2 linked regions of the Coturnix japonica genome follow. The protein of the gene in region 2 interacts with the protein of the main gene of each other region in a pairwise test. Links are inferred from orthologs where the notes say so. Each region holds a gene or a part of one and is shown on either strand. Other genes may lie near its edges.

The links.
Region 1: the proteins of SMURF2 (region 2) and SPART interact in a two-hybrid assay, tested with the Homo sapiens proteins (2 studies listed by BioGRID and IntAct). The link is inferred for Coturnix japonica from reciprocal best matches to the Homo sapiens genes SMURF2 and SPART.

What each region holds. Positions count from the first base shown.
Region 1 is NC_029516.1:154,378,058-154,382,655, forward strand, and holds the start of SPART (spartin), read left to right. Parts: upstream 1-1,547; 5' UTR 1,548-1,672; intron 1,673-4,598. UniProt on the Homo sapiens protein: Lipophagy receptor that plays an important role in lipid droplet (LD) turnover in motor neurons.
Region 2 is NC_029533.1:7,186,202-7,190,613, reverse strand, and holds the start of SMURF2 (E3 ubiquitin-protein ligase SMURF2), read right to left. Parts: upstream 2,844-4,412; 5' UTR 2,515-2,843; coding exon 2,463-2,514; intron 1-2,462. UniProt on the Homo sapiens protein: E3 ubiquitin-protein ligase which accepts ubiquitin from an E2 ubiquitin-conjugating enzyme in the form of a thioester and then directly transfers the ubiquitin to targeted substrates.

The sequences.
Region 1 (4,598 bases), on a different chromosome or scaffold from region 2:
TCCCTACAACACTAGGTTGAGCAGGAAAGCATCCAGATGGGTCTTGAATATCTCCAGAGAAGGAGACTCCACAGCCTCTCTGGTCAGCCTGTTCCAGTGCTCTGTCACACTAATAGTAAAGAAGTTCTTCATCATGTTCAGATAAAACTTCTTGTGCTCCAATTTCTGCCCACTGTCCTTTGTCCTGTTGCTGTATGCCACTGAAAACAGCCCATGCACTTCACTCCTGCACTTCAGATATTTATAAACAGGGATGAAATTCCCGCTCTGCTTTTCTCTTTTCCAGGCTCAACAGATTCAGACTACTCAGCCTTCCACATACAGGAGATGCTACAGGCCCCTCATCACCTTTGGGCCCTCTGCTGGACTGTCTCCAGAAGACCCCTATCTTTTCTGAACTGAGGAGCCCAGAACTGCACACAGCACTCCAGATGTGGCCTTACAAGGGCAGGGCAGAGCGGAGGATCACCTCCCTCGATCTGTAAGCCACGCCACGTATGATGCACCTTAGGTTCTCCTTGGCCTTCTTGGCCATAAGGGCACACTGCTGGCTCATTGCTGCCCACCAGGAGAGCACCTGTACTAGGTTCAACTAGGCCTGAAATCTTCAGTGTGGAAAAGTCCAGCTGCACAAAACTTTTAACATGATGGTCAGTGACACATAAACAACGAGCTGCCGGATTATATTCACAGAATCACAGAATCACAGAATGACCCGGTTGGAAGGGACCTCAAGGATCATGTAGTTCCAACCCCCCTGCCTGGCAGGGCCACCAAACATACACATTTACTAGATCAGGTTGCCCAGGGCCCGTCCAACCTGGTCTTGAACACCTCCAAGGACGGGGCATCCACACCTCCCTGTGCAGCCTGTTCCAGGGCGAACCACTCTCTACTGAAGAACTTCCCCATAACATCCAATCTAAATCTTCCCTCTTTAACTTAAAACCGTTTCCCCTAGTCCTACTATTGTCAGACCTTTCGAAGAGTTTACTCCCTCCTGGGAGTAAGTTCCCTTCAGGTATTGAAGAGCTGCAATGAGGTCACCCCGCAACCTTTCTTCTTCTCTAGGCTGAACAAGCCCAACTCTCTCAGCCTGTCCTCATCGGGAGGTGCTCCAGCCCCCTGAATCATCTTCGTGGCCCTCCTCTGGACCCTTTCCAAAATCTCCATGTCTTTTGTACTGAGGCTCCACACCTGGACTACAGTACTCCAGATGGGGGCTCAAAAAAAGCAGAGAGGGACGATCACCTCCCTATCCCTGCTGACCACCCTCTCCTGATGAGGCCCAGGATCCCATTTGCTTTCCGGGCTGCCAGAGCACACTGCTGGCTCATGTTAAGTTTCTCATCTATCAGGACCCCTAGGTCTTTTTCTGCCGAGCTGCTCTCAAGGAGCACACCTCCCATTGATTCAAACATCAGCCGTGATATTTTTGGTGTCGTGGAGATGCAGCAAGCACACTACGTCCCTTTCACAGAGAACAGCCTCTTTCAGGCACACAGCCTCGCCCCCACGCAGGTCCCATGGACAGCCCAGGCGGGGCCGTCCTGCGGCGGGGCATGGACTTGGGGCACAGCCCGGGCAAGGCCCCGCCCCGAGCCGAGGGCGGAGCGGCTGCCGCCGCCCGACTACAGGCCGCGGTGGGGTTGTCCGGCTGTTAACTGCCTCGGTAAGCGCGACTGGGGGCCGGGTCCTTTCGGAGAGGCTCGGCTGTAGCCGGCCCGGTGGGCTGAGGTGAGGCGGCTCGTTCGGCTGCGAGCGGTGGGAGGGCGGCCGTGGGGAGGCGGGGCTGCCCCCCGGGTTGAGCCCGGGGCTGGTTGTGGTGGTGCTGCGGGCTGAGCCGGGTCGGGTACCGGCTGGTGCTGCTTAAAGGGAGCGACGGGGCCGGATCATTCCGGGTTAAAGTGTCGCTGAGAAGCAGGTATCCTGTAAGCGGCTCGGTACGGAAGTTGAGGTAGAATTCCCTGCTCCGTGTGTGCCGCCTGCTTTGAGAGGTTCGGATCGGGGTGGCCTTGTGTTGTTTTTATCTGCTGGTGAGAAACCTGTTGGTGATGGCGGGGGGCTGGTAGGCCTGCTCGTAATTAAAAGCGTTAAATAACAGTCTTGCGTAACTGCGGACCTTATTGGAATCGTTTCCCTTTCCCGGAGAACACGAGATAGTGATGGTGCCTTTGTACGCAGTCCGGGCCGCCAGCTGCCCCGCCGTGTGCTCACTTTCCGTTCCGGAGATGTGCTGGGTTGGCACTTGAGAGCTGACAGCTCTGCCCTGACACCCTGTGATGGGAGCTCACACTATGCACGGCGTCAGGAAGAAAGTTGGTTTATGAGGAGAAAATAGGCTTGAGACAGCAGAGCTGAGAGGAGGGTAGGAATGACCGTGTCGGGTCAGATCGCTGGCTTTCGTATTACCCAGCCCTCAGTGCTTAAATATCAGCTGTAGGCCACCACTTAATGAAAAATTTAAGCGCTACTCTGAAGAGGCTAATTTAAATAAGCTACAAGGGGGGGAAAATAAAAGAGATGAAGTTGATCAGCTAGTATCTGCTATGTTCAACTGAATCCTTTGTAACAGTTGCGCTGGATCAGTATGTTCTCAAAAGTTACTGATGCCTTAATTGCTTTTTATTAAGATTAAGGCTTAAATAGTTCTGTCTGTGTTGTAGTTCTCCTTCACTGTCTTCATCTTTGAAATCAGCAGCTGACAGATAAACAGGTGACATATCGGAAGATCTCTGGATTAAGGGGTTGGTTTTGTTCTCCCATAGCCGCACCTACAAATACAGGGAGCTGGATGGCATATTCTACCTCTGTCGGTCAGGATATTTAATCCCCTTAATAAGCATTAGGCGTCTTGTTTACGTTTTCACAGTTAGAACCACAACCAAACTGCATTTTTAAACTTTTTTATTATTTTAATGGAGTTTGCTGCATTAGAAGAAGGGTGGTCAGCCAGAAAGCTGAGGTGCCAGCTTACAATATCAAATGGAATCTGATATTGTAAGCTGGCCCACATTGCCCCACTGCCCTCTAGCATCCCTTGGCCAAGTCACTTGGCACCAGACAGTATATCTGTAATGATGTTGGAAGGGGGCTGAGGAATGAGTCAAGTGCTGGTTTGATCTGTGATTATCTACCGTGTTCATCAGCTCTTTTCTTAGCTCTCTTTTGAATCAGCTTTCTCAAAGACAAGTTCCTGTGAGTCTTACTGAGCACTAAGAAAATATCTGGCCATCCAGATCCAAAGGCTCAATTTTGGAGCTCTTGTATTTAACAGTATGCACTTGGCCATTTATCCTAGCTTTAAAACATAGGAAATAACAATGTACAGAAATAGATTACAACATACTGGGCATTTAAATACTGTATTAAAATCATACACTGAAAAAGATAATGACGACTGATATTCCTTGCATATGATCAAGAAACTACTTTGACTTCAGGAAATGTTTCCTCTTGTATTCTGAGGGAGCAACCCAGCTGGTTTATTTACTTCAGTATACCCACCATTATTTTGTATTGATTTTAATTCATTTTTATTTATTAAATTTATACACTTGGTTATAAACTGACTTTTAGTTTTCCTGTATTAAAATCAACTGTGAATCCCTTCCTCTGTTCCTAAGTGCATTGTCCCACAAATGAATAGTTTGGCTCTGACTGCTGTACACGCAGCACAAATTTGGGATGTTTCAGACAATCAGAGATGAGTTAACAATGCTCCCACTCTTCTGAGCTGCTAAGCCTGTTTTTGTATCTCCGTCACACATGGCCATGCAGTGCTGCCTTGTATGCACTGGACCTGCTGACATCTCAGTTTCCTGACACGTCTTTTATTTCGAGTTAACAAAGATTTTGCTTTAGTGAGAACAGTTCTGTTGACAGTGCAGCGAGCATATAGAGTGGTACTTTACTATTGCTCACTCTTAAGCAGAAATACAGCTGTTACTTTTGCATTTCACTTGTCACTGTAAAAGAAGACAAGGTATTAATTGTTAGGAAAAGTAATTACTTAAAATCTGGATAGTATCTTTGCCTTAGCTGCCCTAACAAAACCAAATCAAAACACACGGGGCAAAGCAGGTGATGATGCTGCAGTGTTTGTTCACACAGGCAAGTAGTTACTGCCCTAAGCAGGGACTTGATTAAATTCACAGGCTCTAAAAACGTCAAAATGCAGAGTGTTGCTCATAAAGAAATTAACTGTGATGTTGGGTTAAACTCTGACCTTCTTTATTGCTCTGTTAAGTCTTTTCTGTTCTGGAAGCTTCAAATAATTTTTAGATCAGTGTTCTTCACTGTTGAGCTGTCTTTATATCCTCTGTAAAAGAAAAATGATTTTCAGTAAATGCGAGTGTTGATGCAAGATGAAGTGGTTTAGGAGTCCCTAGGTTGTTTTTTTTTGCTAGCAAATTACTTGACGCGTATGTCTTCAATGACTCCATATGCTTGGTTAACGTCCATCACTTTTTATTATGAGGAAACTTAGTGCACTTTCTATGAGTGATGTAAGGACAAAACAAAGGTTCTCCTAGACCATAAAATCTTCACCGTGGTGTATAATCTTTCATATAGGGATGAAGCAGTGTCTACCACAA
Region 2 (4,412 bases):
CAATATTTTATTTGGCTCCTCGGGATCGACTGAGAAGTTGGGCACTACTACAGATCAGCTCTTGGACTCACATCAAACATTACCCTGTCATTTATCCAGTCAGTCAAAACAATGTTTTCCATCTAAACCTTTAATGTTTATGTCCTGAAAAACTGCTAATTGAATCCAGTTCTTGAATCCATTTATTTTTTATTTTTTTCAATCTATAGTATCTAATTTAGAGATAACAAATAGGAAAGATAAGTGTTACACAATGTTTACAGAATTAATCCTATAAATATTCAAGCCAGAACAGAAGACTGCTGGCATCATAAAGCCAAAGAAAATTAAGGTTATATAGCATTTGCAAGCATGAAAATAAACTTTTTAAAACACTGGAATATACAGATTCCTTTAATTCCAAACAGTTCTAGAATTTGAGAGCTCTCAAACTGCTTTTCCAATCAAAAAGGGTCATCAAAGCCACAAAGTACACTTAGATCTATTCCTATGCAAGGACTGACACCGTGTCAGCTCAATTAATAAAATCCAATGTTTGTAACAACTTTTCTTAAGCATATAAAGCTTCCCTACAACCAACGACCGCATAAAAAACAACAGGCAGTTTGCTAAAGCACAAAATACCTCAAGTCTTTCTAACTTGAGAAATAGGTCAATATTTCATGTAAGCTTCCAAATAACAGAACCGGTTCTCAGCGCCTGCACAGAGATGCTAAAAGTGGAGCAGTCTCTCTCTAAAGGCGACTTTGCTTTGAATCCATTGCTCTGCAGCCACCCCTCCTAAAAAACAGGTAATGAAAAACTCAGAATCGTTCCTCAAGAACGTACCTGCTTCTTTTGGGAACCACTCGGTACATACAACCACTGCCTATTGCTCACAGCTACACTCCCCTTGACATATTTATGTTGTCAAAGACAGGATTAGAAGACGTACTTAATCCTTAATCAAAATAAAACACAACAGAATACAAAACCCAAAGGTGAAGCAGACAGCCGCCTGAACAGTATTTTCCAGGCTTTTACTAAAGGCTCCAGACTATTCGCAATGTTTCGAAGATAAGCAAGTCTGAGCACTCACAGCAAAGGGAAAAAAAGCATTAAAGTTTTGCATCAATAAAGCAGTAACCTGAAGAAAAAGCTCCCAAGCACTGTACAAACAGGCAGCACTGCTCCATGCATCGGTCCCAGCCACATTTAGCTCACAGATTTCATTTCTCACTGTATTATATAGGCATTCACACATCTCAATGAAAATTACATTATAAATTTAGTCCAAGGTACTTCCACAGCAAAACATACATTGCATCTCCTCTATAAAAACAGCACGCTTGCAAAAAATAAATATGAAAACATCTGTATTTATATGACATCAAACTGGAAATATTTCAGATGTGCCTATAGTTAATGTTCCAATTCCTTCAGGTTTTTGTTAAAACATATTTGTTTTGCAAGCTGGTTAAACCCACTATCTGCAAATAAGAGTATTTGAAGCAATGTATCTCCTGCTTTCTAACGGCTTACCTTCAAGCACTCACACTTTGGAACCCAAGATAGGATTTATCAGCTGGGGGAGGGCCTTACATCACTTTGGAGCAGCTCTGTCCTATTAACTTCGCTGTATTATTTATTTTTTTTTAAAGAGAGCTCCAGTGTTCCTTCTCTCGATCAATGTACCTGGTTCTCTCATGTAAAGGATCATAACACTTCAAGTGCTTGGAAATAGCGTATTTTCCTTCCCTGCACGCAGGTGAGCAGCTTTTTAATGCTATTTTAAAGCATTCGAGGTCAAGTGGTCTTCTGAGAGAAAGCTGCCCACACAAGGCACCGTGTCAAACCGACTGTGTACAACCTTCACTAAGGAAGTCGGCTCGGGGAAAATATATATATATATAAAGAAACAAACAAAGAGATGAAAACAAAGCGTGTGTCACTTTCTTTCAAGTTCACGCTGAGAAGGCGAAGGAAAAAAAGCGAAACCCAGCGGTGGGGGCGGCGGGACGGGGCTGAGGTGCCCGGTACCACACGGCTCCCGCTGGCGTTTTGTTCCCGAGGCGGGCGGCCCACGGGGAGCTGCCCTCACTGAGGGAGCGGACGGGAGGAGAGGGAAGAGTTCGCTGTCTGTATTTTGCCCCTTCTCCTCACGAGGCCTGAGAGCCGCCTCCAAGCCCAGGTTCAACCTCAAATACACATGGAGGAGCTCCCGCTCGCTCGCTCCCTCCCACCCTCCAGCTGGGCTCGCCGGGGCTCCCCGCCGCTCCAGGAACTCGCTCCCCCGTGGCCGCGGGTTTCCCCTCCCCTCCCCGCCGCGCCCCGTCCCGCACAGCCCCGCTGCTGCTCGCCCCGTGCCCGAGCGTTATTCAGCGTTATTCAGCGTTATTCAGCGTTATTCAGCGTTATGCAGCGTTGTTATACAGCGTTATGCAGGCCCGGCCGCAGTTCCCCGCCGCCGCGCTCAGCCTCACCTGTCAGCCGCAGCTTGACGGGCCCGTTCCTCCGAGCCCCTTGGTTGGACATGTCCCCGGCCGCGGCTCGGGCCCGGCGCTGCTTTGCCCGGGGCTCCCCCTGCCTCTGGGTCCGGGAAGGGAGACGGGGGGGGAGGGGACGCGCTAATGGAGTCGGCTCGGGCGCTCAGGGCAGCGGCGGCCGCCGGAGGAGGAGGAGAAGCCCGGATGTGCCCAGCGTCGCCATGAGTGGGGCCGGGGCCGAGGAGGAGGCGGAGGAGGAGACGCGGCCGCCTTCCTTTCCCTTCCCTTCCCTTCGCTTCCCCGCCCCCTAACCCGCAGCCCGGGCGGCGAGCACAACAAAGCCGGGACGGAGCAGCGAACGGCCGCCTCCCCTCCCCTGGGCAGGCCGGGCTCGGCTCTGCTCTGCTCTGTGCTCGGCTCTGCTCTGTGCTCGGCTCTGCTCTGCTCTGTGCTCCGTTGGAGGCCGAGGCCGAGTGCCCACCCCGAGTCCCGCTCCGTCCCGGGGCTGGGGCCGATGTGAGCGGGATGCCCCATGGGGGCTGCATCAGGTGGCGGCGAGACTGGGGGGAGTCGGGAGGAATTACCGAGGTGTGGAAGGAGGGAAGCCAGAGAAACGGGTGGGGGGACAAAGGTACACGTGAGAAGAAACAGCATAGGAATACATTTAAAGCCGGGCTAAACTGAATAGGTCTGCCATGCGGGAGTGCTTGCAATCTGGGGCAATATTTTGGGTGGATGGGGCACAGCAGACTTGCCATGGGAGCAATGAACTCTGAGCTGATGTGCTGCTTGTCTGTGCTGCTTAAAATGAGCAGCGCGGTTGTGCTAATTGCCAAAAAAAAAATAAAAATAAAAAAAAAAGGCCTCACATTCCCATTGTGAGGCCTAATTTAGCTCCATCCTGCAGGAAAGGTGACTCCTTCCACAGTCTGTCCAGCTCCTGCACATCTCCCATGAGGGAGGGGAGCGCAGGGCTCACATCAATGCCAAGCGGGCTCTGAAGGCCGGGAAAAGCTCCCGGAAAAGCTGTAAAGTTGCCACAGTAAAGTTTACCTTATAAGACTGAGCTAATAAACCACACACCTATTCGTACTAATAACCTTACTAATGCTCTGTATGTTCACATGCATCTCACTCAGTCGTGTCATTGCACTGACTTCTTCCTGCTGAGCCAACCTGTTAAGTATTACTATAAGGGCGGTCATAGATTAAGATCCAACCTGAGTACCAAGATCCAAACACGGGATGAAAAGATGACCAATGCTTTGCAGAGTTTGTAATGTAGCTTCTGCATAGCCCAGTGTTCACTTTCTGAAGCTGCATACAGCACAGAACTGAACTAGCATGTCCAGAGTTGGCTCATCTTGGCTGAGTTTGGGGCTTGGACCTCATTAAATCACATCTAGGAGCAGGAATTGATTTTGTCCCATTGAAGGCCTCACAAGTAGGATATGGCTCTCAAAGTTTTCCCCTTTAAAATGAAGCCAGGCTGGATGTGGCTCTGGGCAGCCTGTTCTGGTGGTTGGTGACCCTGCACACAGCAAGGGGGTTGAAACTGGATGAGCATTGTGGTCCTTTTCAACCCAGGCCATTCTATGGTTCTATGAAAGGGTCCCCCCCTGTATGCACAGACTCACGTCTCCATTGTCCCATAGCGTGTCTCAAGCACCAGATCCTTCCAGGTGCAAATTTTCTGTGCAGTGGCACTGCTGTTCCAATGTCCCTTCACCTGGGAACAAAGCAGTCCTTCCTCAGGCAGGGTTGTGTCTGTTTCCTTCAAAGCTGCCTGTTAAATACAGAGATAGCAAATGTTAGTAGAGAACCTTCTTTCAGACTGCTCAGCTTCCAATGAAAATACTGTGAAGTGCTGGAGCATCAGTTGGGAGCTCACACTTTTGTGTCGCTGTATAAAATGCACAATATTTATTACTGCCATGCACACACAAG